3 linked regions of the Rattus norvegicus genome follow. The protein of the gene in region 1 purifies or fractionates together with the protein of each later gene. This does not show direct contact. Links are inferred from orthologs where the notes say so. Each region holds a gene or a part of one and is shown on either strand. Other genes may lie near its edges.

Evidence for each region. The genes of interacting proteins can lie anywhere in the genome.
Region 2: the proteins of Ankrd46 (region 1) and Mgrn1 purify together in Homo sapiens (co-immunoprecipitation; 3 studies listed by BioGRID and IntAct, counting the BioPlex papers as one, with this or other methods). This does not show direct contact. The link is inferred for Rattus norvegicus from reciprocal best matches to the Homo sapiens genes ANKRD46 and MGRN1.
Region 3: the proteins of Ankrd46 (region 1) and Atrn purify together in Homo sapiens (co-immunoprecipitation; 3 studies listed by BioGRID and IntAct, with this or other methods). This does not show direct contact. The link is inferred for Rattus norvegicus from reciprocal best matches to the Homo sapiens genes ANKRD46 and ATRN.

What each region holds. Positions count from the first base shown.
Region 1 is NC_086025.1:69,549,737-69,556,132, reverse strand, and holds the start of Ankrd46 (ankyrin repeat domain-containing protein 46), read left to right. Parts: upstream 1-2,855; 5' UTR 2,856-2,928; exon of another isoform or gene 2,929-3,288; intron 3,289-3,646; 5' UTR 3,647-3,757; intron 3,758-3,776; exon of another isoform or gene 3,777-6,396.
Region 2 is NC_086028.1:11,162,313-11,168,128, reverse strand, and holds part of Mgrn1 (E3 ubiquitin-protein ligase MGRN1), read left to right. Parts: intron 1-234; exon of another isoform or gene 235-335; intron 336-550; coding exon 551-668; intron 669-2,897; coding exon 2,898-2,964; intron 2,965-3,246; coding exon 3,247-3,296; intron 3,297-3,310; exon of another isoform or gene 3,311-4,667; coding exon of another isoform or gene 4,668-4,673; intron 4,674-4,750; coding exon 4,751-4,798; intron 4,799-5,816. UniProt on the Homo sapiens protein: E3 ubiquitin-protein ligase. Mediates monoubiquitination at multiple sites of TSG101 in the presence of UBE2D1, but not of UBE2G1, nor UBE2H. Plays a role in the regulation of endosome-to-lysosome trafficking.
Region 3 is NC_086021.1:138,645,990-138,651,805, reverse strand, and holds part of Atrn (attractin precursor), read right to left. Parts: intron 2,186-5,816; coding exon 2,048-2,185; intron 1-2,047. UniProt on the Homo sapiens protein: Involved in the initial immune cell clustering during inflammatory response and may regulate chemotactic activity of chemokines. May play a role in melanocortin signaling pathways that regulate energy homeostasis and hair color.

The sequences.
Region 1 (6,396 bases):
ATGGATCCTTTGCTACTACCACAGGCTGCACACGTGGCCTTTAACTCTGAAGAATAAATATTGAGTCTCAGAATAACTGTTTATCCAAGCACATCGCTGCTGTCTTTCCTCAATGAAAAAGGCTTTATTTCATTATCTTATCCCAGTTGCGATTTTTACAGTCAGAACTTATGACCAAATGTATCTGTGGTGACAAAGACAAAGAGGGACATTTTCCTGATCAGAGTAAAGTCTAAGATAAGGCACTCGTAATAAACAAGATGGCAGCCTTTAAATGTCCACCTCCCCACAGTCCCCAGAACCTACACACATGCAACTTTGCCATGTGTCTTAGCTTCTTCTTCTTCTTCTGTTGCCGTGATAAAGTAAGGTGACAGAGAAAGCCCGTGAGATAAAAGGCTTATTTCAGCTCGTAGTTCAGGACACAGTCCATCTCTTCACAGGAGCCATGGCCATAAAAGCTTGAGGCAGCTGGTCAGAGTGTATCCACAGTCAGGAAGTGGACAGCAAGAGATGCCTGCCTCTGCTCAGTTCCCTTCTCTGTTTACACAAGCCAAGGTCACAGGCGGGGCCATGTCACCCACATAGGATGGATCGTCCTCCTTCAGTTAATGTAACCGAGGTGATGCTCTCCAGGCCCACCCAAGGCACCTCCTGGGTGACTCGAGATGTCACTCCAGGGAAAGGGGGCTCTGCAGGAGTGAGCATCCAAACAAAGATCCCAAGATGAGGAGATCATTCTGGAGGATCTAAGTGTGTCCCATGAAAGCACAGGGGTGTTGTAAAATAAGGGGGGAAAGTTAGAGAAGATGCTGGCATGAAATCCAGGGGAGAGCAAAGGCAGCACATGGAGGAATGGCTACAAGCTGAGGGACAGAGGGTGCTTTAGAAGCTGAGTAAGTTAGGGAGACTGAGTCCTGAAGACCCTCTAAAAGCAACGTAGCACTTGAAGTTTAGCTGGGTGGAAACTCTGTGGCTGCTGGCCTTCCTGGTGTATAAAATGACTACTGCAATCGCTTAAACAGTTAGATTTGTGGTGGTTTGTTACCATGGCAATATGAAACTGAGGTACAGCCCTCTCCTATACAGACCCCAGCCAAGCCTCGGGAGGGATTCTGGAAGTGTGTTCACAGGAGTTTGGGGAGTTATTCAGCCCCTGCTGATGAAGATCGCTGCCTCTCTTTCTTCAGACTTCCTCAGGAACTCTTCCTGGGGAGTCAGCACCCGGTGGGGCTCAAGTAAGCAAGAGGACAATAGGAGACTCTTTACTTTGCATTTAGGAGGATATAATCTTGTGATTTATGGTCACTCCCACTCAGTATCAGGATATCACTGAGATGTAAAAGCAGCGTCTGTGAAGATGTTCAGTCCCCACCATGTCAAGTACCCAGACATGGGGACAAGGAGTCAGAGGGCACAGGCAACTCGAAGTCCATTTCCTTAGTCTCGTCAGAGGAGGGAAAAAAAGCTGTCTTCACAGTCCTTAAATTTTCCCTGTTGAACGAAGCCATAATTCACGAAAAAGAAAAGATAAATTAGAATACAGGCATTCAATACCCTCTCAAGTTGTTTGATATACCAACCAGGGAAAGATAAATTATATGAATAGAATTACCATTTAAATTACCCAGTGCCTTGACACAGTGGATGGGCATATATGGAGATATTGACTAATTGATTAATGTATCCCCAATTTACAGAATATTTATGATCAGTCACTGTTCAAGTAAATGTTAAATAGCCTAAGATGATTGGCGGCCCTGGGGATTGCTGAGCTCACCCCGCCCTGGTATCTTAGATTCAGTGTATGTACATGTGTGTGTGCGTGAGTGCCTCTGTGTGTGGCCTGTGTCTGTGTGCACATGAGCGCATGCATGCACGAACCCAAGTGTGCAAATACTTATGTGCACTTGTTCATGGAGACCAGAGGTCAGCCTCAGGTGACATACCATAAGAGCCAACCATCTTGGTTTTTTTGAGACAGGACTCTCATTGAGGCCCAGAACTCCATGAGTAGCACAGGCTGTGCTGGCTGGCCAGGGAGACCCCCTGAAATCAGATATCTCCCACGGGCCAGAACCGCACATAGCCAGCATGCTTGGCTTTTTATTCGGATTCTGGGGATTGACCTCAGGTCTTTAAGCTTGCAATGCAAGTCCTTTACCAACTGAGCTATCTCTCCAGCCTTTTTATAATTCTTAAGTGAAGGAAATGTGAGATTTCTTCAAGTCAGGCAATAATCCTAAACACCGATTTGACATTGCGGGGGCAGGGGGGGTGCACGACGGATTTAGACTTAATTCTTGAACAGATGACCTTCTACAGGGTCATCTGGTGGGGTAGATGGTACTAGAACTCAGAGAACAGTGTTTAAAAGAAGTCACCTTGGTTGTATGACTGGAGTTGAGAGAGAGAGAGAGAGAGAGAGAGAGAGAGAGAGAGAGAGAAGCTATGTGAAAGAATGTTCCAGTACATGGGTGTATCATCATTTTCAGGTTTGATTGTACACAAGTCACGATAAGTCAAGGACTTATAAATAAGGCGTAAGCATTCAATCTGAATAATAACTCGGTAGGATCGAATATTAAAGTAGACTTGTAAGCCATGATTTGCTAACAAGTGGATTCAGATCTTCCCTGTAGCCGGAAACAAATTAATGCGCGTGGCACTTAACATATTTGTTTCTGCCTTTTAAATTTCTACTTAGTGGAGTCAATGGGACATGTATTTAGAAAAAGAGGTGAAAGTGCACGATGCTGGTAAGAGGGCGAGCCGCCGCCATGTGAGCCTCCCGCCTGCAGGGGGCGCGCCGTCACGAGGTGCAAGGCCGCTCTGCCCCGCGTGAGCTCCACCTCTGTGGCCGCCAGCGCCCCGCCCTCAGTCACTGGAGAGGAGGAGCTGCTGCCTTCATTGCTCCTTCAGGATCAGGTACCTGGGCCGGGGCTGTGGGCAGCAGCTGGACTGGAGCGAGTGACACCTGCCCTAAGGGCCGTGGAGCCCGGTGCGGGTCCGAGCGGCTTAGCCGCGGGCGATGATGGCGGGAGGGCCTAGGTCAGGCCTGGGAGATTGCACGGAGGATGCCCACGGATATTTCGGAGTCTCCTGGCAGCCCACGCCCCAGCCCTATGGCGACGTCCTTCCCAGGCCGGGATGCAGAGCATAGTTAGGAATTGTCATGTCCTTAGCTGGTCACGAGGAGTCCGCAGCCCTGGCGAGCGTGGGCACTGTGGAGGTCCGTGTGATCTGCCCAGACTGTCACACTGCCCAGGGCATTCTCGGTGAGACAAGGTTTGCACATTTTGTGCTTAGGCCTCAGGCGATCATCAACTTTCATACTTTGACACGCGTCATTAAAAAGCAGTTGGTTTCTCTCCGGAGAAGAAAACATTTATTCTTAACAGCATTCCACAGAATCTCGAATTGGCTGAGGAATGTAGTAAGTGTGTACTATTGAAGAGTAAGGGACACTGCTCACTCTTCAGAATGTGGCATGGTACTTAGGCGCTTCCCAAGGGCGCTCTCAGTGGTATGGTGGTTTTTATGTTGCAGTAGCAACTGGCTGTCTTCATGTCGGATATTGTGCCCACTAATGTGCCCTTTTAAAGTCTTTGCAACAGCCCTCACAAGTACCATCTCTGATTTGCAGATAAACTGAGGCACAGAGTCTAAATTAACCTGTCCAAGGCCAGACAGTTGGCAGAGTAAGTGGAATCAGAGACACACAAGACTTCACGCCAGCACCCTTTACCTTCCAAAGGTAGTGTTTCTTTTTTCTTTCTTTATTTTTTTTTCTTTTCTTTTTTTTTTTTTTTTTTTTTTTTTTGGAGCTGGGGACCAAACCCAGAGCCTTGCGCTCGTTAGGCAAGCGCTCTACCGCTGAGCTAAATCCCCAACCCCAAAGGTAGTGTTTCTTAAGATTTCTGCTTATTCAATCAGAGCTTTCAGGGACTAAGCCACTACCTAAAGACTATACATGGACTGACCCTGGACTCTGACCCCATAGGTAGCAATGAATATCCTAGTAAGAGCACCAGTGGAAGGGGAAGCCCTGGGTCCTGCTAAGACTGAACCCCCAGTGAACTAGTCTATGGGGGGAGGGCGGCAATGGGGGGAGGGTTGGGAGGGGAACACCCATAAGGAAGGGGAGGGGGGAGGGGGATGTTTGCCCGGAAACCGGGAAAGGGAATAACACTCGAAATGTATATAAGAAATACTCAAGTTAATAAAAAAAAATTCATAGTAGTAAATACCTAGGCAATTATTGTGCAAAATATATAGGACTCATAAATTGTACCTCTTGAAGAAAATATACAGAAATAAAGTTAGATAGTGTGGAAGTTTCTCTTCCATACAAAGTTTCTTATAATGGTGGAAAAAAAAAAAAGATTTCTGCTTATTGATAAAATTTGTAGCCTGAACTGGTTTCTCTTAGACTTATGCTATGACATTATGCCTGTGCCACTGTCGGTTTACTTTAAAGAGAAGTATGTTTGTTCATTAAGCTTTGTGGTGGTAGTAAGGTTAAATGTCCTGGGTTCTCACTGTTTCAGAATAGGTTGATTTGATGTAGAAGTGTGTCTGTGTTTGTTCGCACATCTTAGCTGTGTGTTCGTTAATTGTATTTTCACAGCAGCTCTATCGAGTGTGCGTTGCACACGCAGCATGGATAGAACTGCCACATGGTGGGTTATGAAGGACTCAGGGCACATTCTGTACAGCAAATGGAGTTGCTGACTGCATGATGAAGGAGTTTCACTGTGAGACTGGGGATGGTTGTTCCCCAATCCCAGAGACTGGGGCTTATAGAGTCTAAGTTCCTTTACTATTGCGGGGACTCCAGTCTAGCATGGTGGAGAAGGGACGGCGGCAGGGACATGAAGCAGCTAGTCGCACTGTAGCCGTGCAAGCCACTTTACCCGAGCAGAGGGCAGAGACTCAGCCCTGTGCTCCGCTCCATCTTCTCCATTTTGCCCTTGCTCCTGAAACAGTGCTGCCCACTGTGGGCCTTTCCACTCCAGCTGACCCAGTGGAGGAGCACTTCCTCGCCGAGACTCCCTTCTCAGGTGCTTCCTTGTGTCAAGCCAGCCACCACTGAGTCCCAATTTGCTTAGCTACATTAGGATTTAGCATAGAATTTAAGAGTTGCGTTGTCAAGAGCTGCCTGTGACATGGGGGCACAAGCCTTTAACACCAGTACTCAGGAGGTAGGGGCAGAGAGATCTCTGTGACTTAGAGGCTAGCCTGGTCTACATAGAGAGTTCCAGGACAGCCAGGGCTGTTACACAGAGAAATCCCGTCTTGTACTAACCACCCCCACCCCCCCAGAAAAAAAAAAAAAAGAATTGCATGGTCAGGGTTCATGCAGCAGCCCCACATCCTGTTTTTCATGGTGGGGCAATTCTAAGAACCAGGGGTGACCCAAGTCCTGATCTAATGGAGCTAACTTTCCCTTGCAGGAAGATGGCGACAATAAAATTATTTGCTTAAAAGTGGAAATAAATCCAGTTAATGGTAATGATTACTAAGAAAAAATCTAAAGCGAGGCTGTGGTAGGACATACTGGGAAAGGGACTTACAGTTTTGCAGTAAGAAATCGTGTCCGAGAGAATGTGCTGAAGTGACAGTGTGGCCATGCAGGGCCGCCCTCCAGCTGTCAGGGGAAAAGTATACAGCAATCACAGAAACCTAGAGAACACCAGCCTGTTGGAGACTAACAAGGAGCCACAGGCTTGAGCAGAGGGCAGAAGGGAGGAATGAAGCCAGAAGCCTAGTGGATGCTAGTAAGGGTCTACATAGGAAGGAGGAGGTGGACAGAGTGATTTGATCAGAAGAGCAGCAGGACCTGACTTAACGTGTTCAGGCTGACTGTAATTCCAAAGATGGGTCAGAGAGAAGGAAGTACCATAGCCCTTCACTGTTCCCGAGGATATAATCCAAGACCTCCAAGAATGTCTGGAACCTTGGATAGTACCAGGTCCTTTATATGAGGTGCTATTTCCCCTTATATGCTTGTACATGATAAAATTACTTAACAGGGGACACTGAAATTTAGCCCCAGCACGGGGAACCAGGCCTCCATTACCTGAGCCTTTGGGGGACACTTCCTATCCAGACCATAGTAGGTATGGCTAAAGGCATTGAGACTGCGTGACTAAGGAACTGAACGTTGATGTGACTGAGAGAGAACATTAAAGGACATAAGGAGAAACTGGAATAGTTGAGGGAAAGGGGTAAGAGTGGAGTGCAGGGAGAAAGGGACTGGCTGTGTTACCCGCTCACTGGATGAGCCCCACGATGGACGTGAGAGTGGCAGGTGACAAGATGGTCGTAAGAACAAGGTCGGGTGCTTGCCATAGAACAGAGGCAGGTAAGGCTTTGAGGCGTCACAGCCCTGCT
Region 2 (5,816 bases), on another chromosome or scaffold:
GGAAAAGGATGGTCCTGGAAGCATTGTGGGGACTGGCAAGACAGGAGGCTAGTCTCTGAGTCACTAGAGCAAAGCTTCAGTGGACCAGCATGGCTCAGGGAACATCACACTCTCAGAACATGACTCACATTGAAGCGAAGGCCTCACGCTCTGTGGGAATGCCTGAGAAGCAGGCAGCGAGGAGCAAGAATTGGCACAGGGAGTACTGCACCATGATTATTCAGAAAAAGCAAATGCACCAAACACCAGTGGGCTTGTTCTTCCCGTGCAGAAGCAGCAGAGATATCAGGCTGGTTGGGCCCTGGAAGAACTAGCCACTTGGTGTGACTGGGCAGCCTCGTGGTGAGCAGAGCTGGCAGTGGCAGGCTCTTGGAAAAGCAAGGGCCACTTGGCTAAGCTGACTGCTTCCTGTTTCTGTCTGGGATGGCTGAAGCTCTCAGTCCCTATAGAAAAAATGGCTGCTGGTTCAGAGGAGTAACATTGGAGATGGGATGCTGGGTTGGGGGTCCATGGCTCCACAGGAGTCAGGTGGCTGCCTTGCTGCCCTCAGGTACAGCTGTAAGAACCCTTCTCTGCAATCTGAGACTGTCCATTACAAGAGAGGCGTTAGCCAGCAGTTCTCCCTGCCTTCTTTCAAGATTGACTTCTCCGAGTGGAAGGATGATGAGGTAACCCTGGGGAATTCGGGAACTCGAGTGGTGCACAGACATACCTGCAGGTCAAACACCCATGCACATAAAATGTGAAAATAAAAACAAAACAAGCAGCGTCCTCTAGCTCCCTCTGGTGGTGGGTGTGTGTCCTCTTCCACTGTCATTTGTCCTGGGCTACTCAGAGGACAGGATTGCAGTCACTGCACACCTTCTGCAGCCACTGGTTCTGTGCTGAGTTCACTTAGTGCAGCTGGCTTGTTCCAGGATGCGGAGTGCAGCTGAGAAGAGCACGAATGCTTGGGGCTACTCGGAGCATAAGAGACCCCAGTGCATTCAGGCTTGCGCTCTGTCAGCTTCCAGCCTGGCATGGGCATGCGGCTCTGCTCTTGTAGCTAGCTTACCTGACTAACAGACACTTCCTACATGAGAGGCTCTTCTTGGTCTTAGTTTATGATCTTGTAGGGTCAGCATGCTGCCAACGTCAGCATCAGCAGGAGCACTCCGGAGTGGCTCCTCTGAAGAGACCGCATGCCAGAGCAAGGCAGTCACCCAGGAAGGTCATTCGCTTTCTTACATCCCAGTTTGTGAGGAGTGCTGTTCTGGGTGATGTACCCATCCTGTGGCTTCACAGTGTTCTACCCAGCCTGGTGCTGTGACTGCCCACATGGCCATCTGCTGCTACCTCCTCTACTGCCTGTATCCTACTTCCAAACACAAAAGGAACCGTGTGGAGTGAAGCATGTTGTCCCAGGCATTGTGCTCAGCCTTGCACTTAGACTGGCCTGTTCCTCTAGAGATGAGAATCAGGCTCAGTTGAGTTTGTTCACAGTGAATGAGCACAGGGCCGAGCTGGAAGCCAGTGCTCCGAGTGTGATGAAATGCCATACAAGGCAGCCTTTAAAGGATGCCTTTAATTGGGGGCTTACCTACAGGGTGAGTCTGTGACCATCATGGTGGGAGCATGGCAGGCAGGCATGGCGCTGGGGCAGGAGGTGAGAGCTCATATTTTGTGAAGAGTCGCAGCCAGAAAGAGACTGGGAGGGTATGGGCTTTTGTTTGTTTTTGTTTTGTTTCGGGGGATGTTGATTTTTGAGACAGGTTTTCTCTTTGTAACAGCCCTGGCTGCCCTGGAACTCACTTTGTAGACCAGGATGGTCTTGAACTTACAGAGATCCACCTTCCAAGTACTGGGATTAAAGGCTAGTGCCACCACTGCCTGGCTTGCTTTTGGTATTCAGGCAGTCTTTGTGTGTGTGTGTGTGTGTGTGTGTGTGTGTGTGTGTGTGTGTGTGTGTGTGTGTGTGTGTGTATGTGTGTGTGTATGTGTGTGTGTGTAAGTTAACATTGAACTCACAGAGATCTGCCTGCCTGGGATTAATGGTATGCACTACTGTTGTTTAAGACAGGGTTTCACTGATGAGCTCACCACTCTTCTGCCTCTGCTTCCTGAGTAACTGAAGTCAGCGGTGTGCACTGCTATATCTGGCCCATTGACCACTCTTCCAGTAACTCCTTAGTGAGAATAAATGGAAATGTCTGCTTCCCTGAGATACCAGAGGGCTCTAGAGGCTGGACAGGCTGAACTTTGCAGGGTTAGGGCCAGGGGTTCCAGGATAGTAGGTCTTTGTGAAGTGATGGGGACCTGTTCTGTCACAGGCTGCTGTGTGGGGTTGGGTGTGGGAGGAAGGCAGCTGCTGGCCTAGAAAGGGAAGCATGGGCCAAGTGGTCTCTAACTCACTGTTGCTCTCATTCCGTCTCTGGTGGGGCTTAAGCCAGACACGTTCCATCAAGCAGTTACCTAATAAAATTTCACCCAAAGCAGGAGACTGGGTGTCAGCACTGTTCACAGTGTTCACAATGTCAAAACCATGGATCCACAACTTATGAATAGACAATGTGGCTTACCCACCGCCTAGAATAACTGCAACACAAAAAGGGAATGGGACTGTGGGAATTGTGACTGAACTTAGAAAGCGTGCTCAATAAAAAAGCTAGGCATAAAAAGGTAGACACTAAACAGTTCACCGTAGGAACTGTCCAGAGAGGCACACCCACAGTTCTGGAAGGCACGCAAGTAGCTGTCAAGGATGGAGAAGATGGCCTTTCTGTTTGGAGAGCCAGTCGGGAGCCATGTGGTCTAGTGGTCCAATGGCACTGAGTGTCCTTGATTCCCTCGGTCTGCTCCAGTTCGAGCTGACCAGCTCACTACCTGTGGACCTGACCATTTCTGCTTTCTTTCTGAAGCTGAACTTTGACCTGGACCGGGGTGTGTTTCCAGTAGTCATCCAGGCTGTGGTGGATGAAGGAGATGGTGAGCATTGCTGGTCTTTCCTCATCTTCATTGTCAACTGTGTAGGACCTGTGGGGGGAAGTGGCTTCCTTCTTCCTGAGTCATCAAAGGACCCCTCTTCTGGAAACTGTGTCCGTCATAGCTCACATGCAGGTTCATTGCCGTGCGACAGCTTGAGAAGTGGGTGCTGGATGAGGACAAGGATAGGAGTAGACTCTGGGCTCTGCCAGTGCTGTAGGGAAAGGGAAAAAGTCCCAGCCATGACCTCACACTGGCCTCCCCTCTCTTATTTCACTGCTTTAGTTGTGGAAGTGACTGGCCACGCTCATGTGCTCTTGGCTGCCTTTGAGAAGGTAAGTGCCATCCTGGCCACCACCCTGTCTCCTGGGAACTGGGGCAGGCAGTGGTGAGGCAGAATGTTGTAGACAAAAACCAGCTCCATCGGACCTTCAAGAACCTGCCAGCACAAGCTAGGGTGCCAACATGGAAACCCTACTACAGACTAACTTTCCCTCCGCCAGCCACCATCTTTTCCCACCAGGTTCAGTATCCTCAGGTGCCACCAGGCACTGGTCTCAGCCTTGCCTGAGGTGTGTGTCTACCTCACCCCTCCTGCTAGCTGCAGCTTGTAGTCCAGGTAGGGCTGGGCAGATTTCCATCCCCATAGGAGGCCTTCCTGGTCCCTCAGAACAACTGTTAATGTTATTATGTGTGTCAGGGCAGGAGGGGCTGACTGGTGGGTAAGGGTCTGCTGCCTGCTGGAACAGCCTCTGGCCTGTATACATACACACTCTCCTGCTTGTGGGAGGTGTGGGCGGGGTCCACTCCCCAGGCCTTTGTCATTCCTTAGTTAGCAGCTAAAAACAGCACCAGGCTGGAGCCCAGGTTACAAGGATCCCAACAACGGACTGGATTACTTGGGAGGTCCCCATGGCTCATTTTCTGCTGACTCATCCTGAGTCCTGCTGACTTGGGGTCCTTTACCAAGGTTTGCATGCTTTCAGTGCCGAGCCCGTTCCTACTGTGACCCAGGTCTCTGGACCACTCTGGGGTCTTCAGAGCTTTGCCAGCCTGCTCTGTGGGAAGCCTTGGGATGCTCTTTTGGGGCAGAAGTGCAGTTGACATGAGCGAGCTGGCCCTCACCTCCTGAGCACCCCATGTTTGGGAGAAGTGCTCACAACAGGATCTGGTGAGACCAATGGGCTGTCCCTCACAGGTTTCCATTCAGTGCTTGCATGGAAAGCTAAGTAAGAAACTTTGTTTTGTAGTATGACATTCTAGAGATTTCCATTAGTATCTACGACCCTGAGTGCTGGTTTTAGTTGACTCCGTGTAATTGGTGTCATTTCAAAATTTCCACTCTAAACCCTGATAAACCTTCCCAACTCTGAGAGCTCTGCTTCCCTAGATATCACTAAGCACACTTGTTTATCCCACTTTGTTCTTTATTTTTAGCTCTCTGAGTGTGTTTTGTGTCATCTTCCTGACTAAGCCATGCTCAAGAATTTTTGTGTATTCACGCTTGCTTCTGGGTAGCAGGAAGTGCCTTGCCAAGATCAGAGTGTAGCTGAGTGGCTTCAGTTTGCGCATGCTGAGACCCACTCAGGATAGTTGGGTTCTCCAGGGATGTTTGACGGTGCTCCAGGTACTGTAGAAGGCAGGCATGCAGTCACAGATGAGGTCATTGTGGCCTGGTTCCTGTCTTCACCCTTTTATTGTCAGCCATGAACGTAGGTTGGCCTTCATCGGTCTGGACAAGAGTGCAGGGAGGGGCTGGTTTGAGAGTAACTGTGTCTCTCTCCTGCAGCACGTGGATGGCAGCTTCTCCGTGAAGCCATTAAAGCAGAAGCAAATTGTAAGTGCCAGATAACACGGGCCTTTGGGTTGCAAAACACACATAATGCAGCTGTGAACACATGCCTGGTCTCCATGGCTGTTCCTTCTGGACATGAAGGAGCTGCTTTCCTGAGTCTGCCCTGTTGTGCTCTGGGATATTGGGGTCTGTGCTTTGTGTGTGGTGGTTACATAGCTACTTGATGCTACAGCAACTGTGTAGGTGCCTGAGTCCTGCCTATCGTGAACCATGGTGCGTGGGTTGCAGTTAGTTCTTGGTGAGTGTTTGCTAAATGAGTGGGTGGAGGAACTAAGGAAAAACGGGAAGCAGAAATATGGCAGCTGCCTCTTGCTTACAAATTACTGGAAATAGAGCAGCATTGGGTAAAGACTTGAATGAACCATGTCAGCACCTCACACGGGAGGAACTCCAGGGTATAGGGGAGACTTGGGATAGCATTTTATGTTTTGTGTTATTACATAAGGCAGTTATTCTGTTTGAGACCTTTATCATGAGACTGACTGATAAGCAGGAGTTTGTGTTCCAAGGCTGTGGTGAGGTTGTGCTAGCTACTCAGATACCAGAGATCAGTTTAAAGTTACAGGGTGGGATAGAGTTTATTAGCCTTTAAAGGAGAGACAGAGTGAATTCTTCCTGGTAGGTTCAGATCCTAATGATACTAGGTAGGCAGAAGACCTACTTGTAGTTGGGGCACTTGTTTCCTTAAGCTAGCTAGTAGGATCCTGGCTTTCTGGAGGGATGCCATAGCCCATGGAACTTGGGAACCAGTGACTGAGGGCACTTTGAGACAGGTCAACATGGGACCTTTAAGTCAAAAAATGACTGGTCTTGTGTCTAATGACTTTCACATCTTGTGGAAACATCAATTATATGGCTTGCTTTCTCCTGCCTACAGACAGCAGCTATAGCCCTCCTGTGAGCCCTCTTGTTTTTGGACAGAATGGGTCTAAAGTATTTGCTCTCTGGTAATGGGGATGATTGTGGGCAGCTTGGAGCTGGGCCTTCTGGGATGGATGCA
Region 3 (5,816 bases), on another chromosome or scaffold:
AGTACTACAATAGAGGATGGTCCTGAACTTTTGAACTGTTGATATTTCTGTCTCCACCTCCCAAGTGCTATAGGGCTGTGACACTGAGCAGGTTTATGCAGTGCCAGAGACTGAACCATGGGCTGTGTGCACGCTAGACAAACTCTTCTAATCAAGTCATTATCTCTAGCCTTAAAATGCCTGCTTTACACTGCTAGTCCTAAAATCGTTTTCTATATCAAACTCAAAGACCTAGCTTTAACTGATTTAGTGTCCCTCAAAGACAAGGAGCTGTGCCATCTTCAACATAGTTGTTCGTTCTTTCTTTCTTTCTTTCTTTCTTTCTTTCTTTCTTTCTCTTTAAAAAGATGTATTTATTTATTTTACGTATGAGTACTCTTCAGGCACAGTACTGAATATCTTACAATCTGAACAAGAAATTTTACTTAGTGGGAAATGACAGCAGACAGGTAATTACATTTTTGAAGTGTTGCAGACGTATCAAGCACTGCTCTGCCTTAATCTCAATCACCATATCCTAGAGAGGGTAGAGATATCCAGCCAGACTACTTTCTCCCGGATGGTTTAGGGTCAGCTATGAAGGGCCACAGTAAGGACTCTAGGGTGGGATCTGAGGACTTGAACTTCTGAGCACCTGCCCCCACTTGTGAGTTACAGGCGCCTCTCCCTAGATGACGGCTGCACTTTCACGGCACCAATTTTCACCTGGTACCGGGAAATCAGACCCAGGGCTTCCTGCATGCCAGGAAAATATTGTCCTGAGGTTTTTCTGAACCCGAGAACTCTTTTCTTAATTAGAGCATAAAAGGTCTTTTAACTATAGGATTCATAATATTTTTCATCTGGAAACTAGAGCAGATAAAAACTGTTCTTTTTTTTTTGAGCTGGGAACTGAACCCAGGGCCTTGCACTTGCTAGGCAAGCGCTCTACCACTGAGCTAAATTCCCAACCCCATAAAAACTGTTCTTAAGTGTGACTTACTATAGAAAAAGACACAACTCGTTCTAATAAAGTAGCCCCTGGCTTTCAGATTTCAGACTTGATTGGGGAAGCTCTAAATCTTAATGGGAGCCTGTGGGAAGCTGGGTATTTGGATATCAGGCATGAGGACAAGAAATTCAAGCCATCTCCAATTCTCCTAGATCCTGTCTAAAAACCAACCAACCAAACCCAAACCCAGGCCACCTTAAAGATTCATCTGGGATCCTCAGGTCGTCATTTTCCCTCCCCAAGCCCCTTGCAGACTGGGGCGGTCAGGTGTTGCAGTCTCTGGGGGAAGGACAGTTCAGAAGGGGGCTCCCCTGGCTGTCATGGTTTTCAAATGTACCCTTGCTCCTGTTCCCATGTGAGGCTTCCAGTAGAAGACTTCTTTAGAGGCCTCTGAGAAACCTCTTTATGGAGGAAGAAGGAAACTGAAGATTGTGTCCTCATTCTGACTGAGTGCTCAGGACTTCTATTCCCAGTCTTTTCCTCCCTCCCCCGACAATGCAACTGTCCTGGCTCCCTCCACAATGAGATGGCCACCCATTCCAGGCTGTTCTGCTTGACTTGAGCTGCTGTGCTTCCATGGGAGGGGAATGGGACAAAGGCAGTTGGTGCCTTCTGTGACTTTAGCCCCTTTTTATGCCTCTGCTGAATGTAATAAAAGCTTAGCTCCTTTACTGCTGGTTTGTTGCTTTAATTAACTGCTCCCAAGCACATAAGTTGAGCTTTATTTCCTCTTCCAGCACAGTCAAACTCTTTTTAATTTATTTATTTTATGTACAATAGTGTTTTCCCTGCATGTATGTCTGTATGAGTGTTGGATCCCAGGTGTTATCAGCACTTGTAAGCTGCCATATAGGTGCTAGGAATTGAACCTGGGTCCTCTAAAAGAACAGTCAGTGTTATTAACCACTGAGCCATTTTTCCAGCCCCAACAATTTAACATAATTAAGAAAGGCAGTATCCCAAACCAAGAGACCTTCCCCTTTAAGATATTTAAGTCAAACGCAGGTACTGTGCTGCTGCACCTGACTTGTGACTAACTTGACCTGTGTGACTTACGCTGACATTTGCCTCCATTAGTCGGGTCACCATAGAAGCCAGATATGCAGGTCTCGCAGTGCTTGCCTGTGGTCAGGTCCTCACACTTCTCACAGATGCTCTGGTTGATGCACTTGCTGTGTCCATTGCACTGGCAAGCTGAAAGGCAAAGGATCTTAAGGGATCTGTTTCTCTCATAGAAGAACTAGGTGAATAAATTTCATATTTATTTGTATGATCTAAATGTTAAATCATGAAAACGAGTAAAGCACAACTGCCTGTGCCTATAGTTCCAGCTAGCAGGAGCTGAGGCAGGCAGCACAGGGCTTCTGATCCTGTGGACCTGTTTTGCTTAAGCCCAGAAGTTTCAGGTCAGCCTGGGTAACACAGTGAGATGCCCATCTAAAAATTTTGTTTCAATAAATAAAAATAAAGAAAGAGAGGAAAAAGCACTGGGTGTGGATTTTAAGGCAACATAGCAAGTTTGTGGCCAGTCTAAAAACTACAAACAAAACAAAACACCAAGGTTCACTAAAAACTATTATGAGAAAATAAAAAACAAATTAGTTTTGAAAAACCAAATATATTATCAAAGCAAGGTGAAAGTCCAAAGGAATATAAGAATACTTTTTGTTGTTATTCATTGTAGAAACTCATGGTACTTTGAATAATATAGTAATATAGAGATGAGGAAAAAATAATCAAACATAATCCCACTACCTAGGAAACATGATTCACATTTGGTATCTTTCTTTCCGGGGTTTTTAATTATTTTCTTTTCCTTAAAAAAAAAACACAATAATAGTAAATCATTTTAGCACCCTATTTTCTCCAATAGGTAAGTCATCTGGAAAAAAAATAAGCAGAGAAACTTCAGCATTAAATGATTTCTTATGTAAAATGAACCAAACAGATATCTACAGACTTTTCTACCTATGTCAAAACAACATACATTCCCTCAGCAGCACATAGCATTACATGCTGACACACAAGCATGTAATGTAGAAAGAGCTCTGTACCATTATGTAATAAAACAAAATCAGTCAGGTGGTGGTGGCACATGCCTTTAATCCCAGCACTTCAGTGCCAGAGGCAGGTGGATCTCTGTGAATTTGAGGTCAGACTGGTCTACAGAAAGAAAGTTCTAGAACAGACAGAGCTACAACACAGAGAAACCTTGTCTTAAAAAAATAAACAACAACAAACCACCTTAAAATCATCAGTAAACAAAATTCTAATAAATGTATAAACTCACTAGAGATTAAACAACTCATTGCTGAATGATGAATGGGTCAATGAAGAAATCAAAATATTCCTGGAGCTAAATTAAACCGAAAAGACAACACAACAAATCCCTGGGACCAGGTCGTCTAAAGGGGGAAGGTGACAGTCCCAGGTGGGCTCTGGTCAAGAAATCCACAAGAACGCAGATGAGTGACTTAGTGATAAAACTGAAAATTTTGGAAAAGTAAGAACTAAACCCAACCCAAACCCAGTAGATGGCAAGAAATAATAAAAATCAGTGAAAAAGGAACAAAGAAAATAATACAAAGAATTAATGAATCTAAGAACTGGTTCTTTAAAAAGATAAGAAGACCAAGAGACTAACTAGCCACAATAAAGAGAGATTAAGAGGGTGAACGGGGAAATCTTACAACAGATGCCAAAGAAATATAAAATGCTATGAAGAAATACTTTAAAACTCATATTCCATTTAGTTGGAAATCTAAAAGGGATGGATTAATTTCTTGATTCATCCAAATGACCAAAGTTAAATCATAAGGAGACTAGCAGACTAAACAGACCATCACAAACAAGGAGACTGAAACAGTAATACAAAGTCTTCCAAATAGAGTCCAGAACCACATGGGTTCTCAGCAGAATTCTACCAGACAACAACCACTCATTCTTAAATTATTTAAAGAAAATAAACAGAGAGATTACTCCCAAATTCGTCCTATGAAGCCAGAACTACTCTAATATGCACAGTCAGTAAAAACAGCAAAAATAAGCAAACTATCGACAGTACTACCACTGATGAACATGGATGCAGAAGTCCTTGATAAAACAATAACAGACACACTATACGCACATAGCACAGAGATCACCCACAAAAGCATGTGGGCTTTATCCCAGAACTCCAGGTTGGCTCAACATACATAAGTCAATAAATACAACACATAATATAAACAGACTTAAAGATGAAATCACATGCCCATCTCAATAGATGTAGAAAGGGCTTGTAAAATACCCAACATGCTTTCCTGATAAAAGTCCTAGAGAGAACAGGACTGGAGCGAACATACCTCAATATAATAAGGGCTGTGTATGACAAACCCATAACCAACACTATCTTAAATGGGGAAAACGCTGACTAATCCCATTAAAATAAGAAACAAGGCCAGGCTGTTCACAGTCACCACTCCTTTTCAATATTGTGCTGGAAGCATTAGCTGGAATAACAAGGCAAATGAAAGAAATAAAGGGATACAAATAGGAAAAGAAGAAGTCAATTTATCCCTATTTACAGATTATATAAGATATATAAGAAATCTCAAAAACTCTATCACTAGACTTTTAAAAACAATCAACAATGTCAGCAGAGTGGCAGAGTACAAAATCAGCTCTCAAAACTTAGTAGTTTGGGGCTGAGGAGTTGGATCAGTAGGTAGGAGCACCTGGCTTCAATTCTAGCATCTACAGGCAGCTCAGAGCTATCCACAAATCCAGTCCCCGGGGATCTGATGCCCAGAGGGCATGATGCATATGATATACATACACATGTTCCAACAAACACTTATACACGTAAATTAAAACGAATTAAACTAAAAAACACTGAGAACAAGATCATGGACATACTACCATGTCTAACACCAAAGACAATGCAATATCTAGAAATAAACTTAACCAAAGGGCTTCTACAATGAAGACCCCAAAATCTCTTTAAGAGATTTAAGAGAGGGATATAGAGAGGTACTAGAAAATGGAGTCATCCTATGTTCATGGATCAGTAAAGTTAATACTGTGAAAATAACCATTCTACCAAAAGCAATTTACAGATTCAATTGCAATCAAAATACCAACAATTCTTCTCAGAAATAGAAAACAAAATCCTAAATTCACATGGAACCAGAAAAGAGCCCAGGAAGGCCAAAGCAATGCTGAGCAGAAGGATTAAAACTGCAGGGATTGCCATCGGAGATCAAGACCTATCACAGACCACAGTAATTCAAACAATATGGTACTGTACAAAACAGACATGCAAACCAACAGAATAAAACAGAAAAGCCAAGCCTAACTAAGTACTCATAGCTACAGGCATCTGGTATTTATGAAAAGGCAACAAAACAAAACAAAACAAAACAAAACAAAACAAACCCTGTAGAAAAGACAGTATCTTCAAAAGCGGTGCTGGGAAAACTGGATGTCTGAATACAGAGGAAGGAATGAAAGAGATCTGTATCTATCACCTTTCATAAAACCTGACCCAAATGGATCAAAGATATAACCCAAACCACTGAAACTTCTAGAATAAAACACAGGCAGTACCATACATGATACAAGTGTAGGAAAGGACTTTTTATGAGGACTCCACTTGCTCAGGAATTAAGGACAACTGGCAAAGGGGACTTCATAAAGTTAAAACACTTCTGTGCAACAAAGGAGACCATCAATCAAGTAAAGAAAAGCAGGACGAAGAGCATCTTTGTCAGCTACACATCCAACAGAGGGATGCAGAACATAGAAAGAACTCAAACACAGTGAAGAAAACAAGTGACCTAATCAAAAA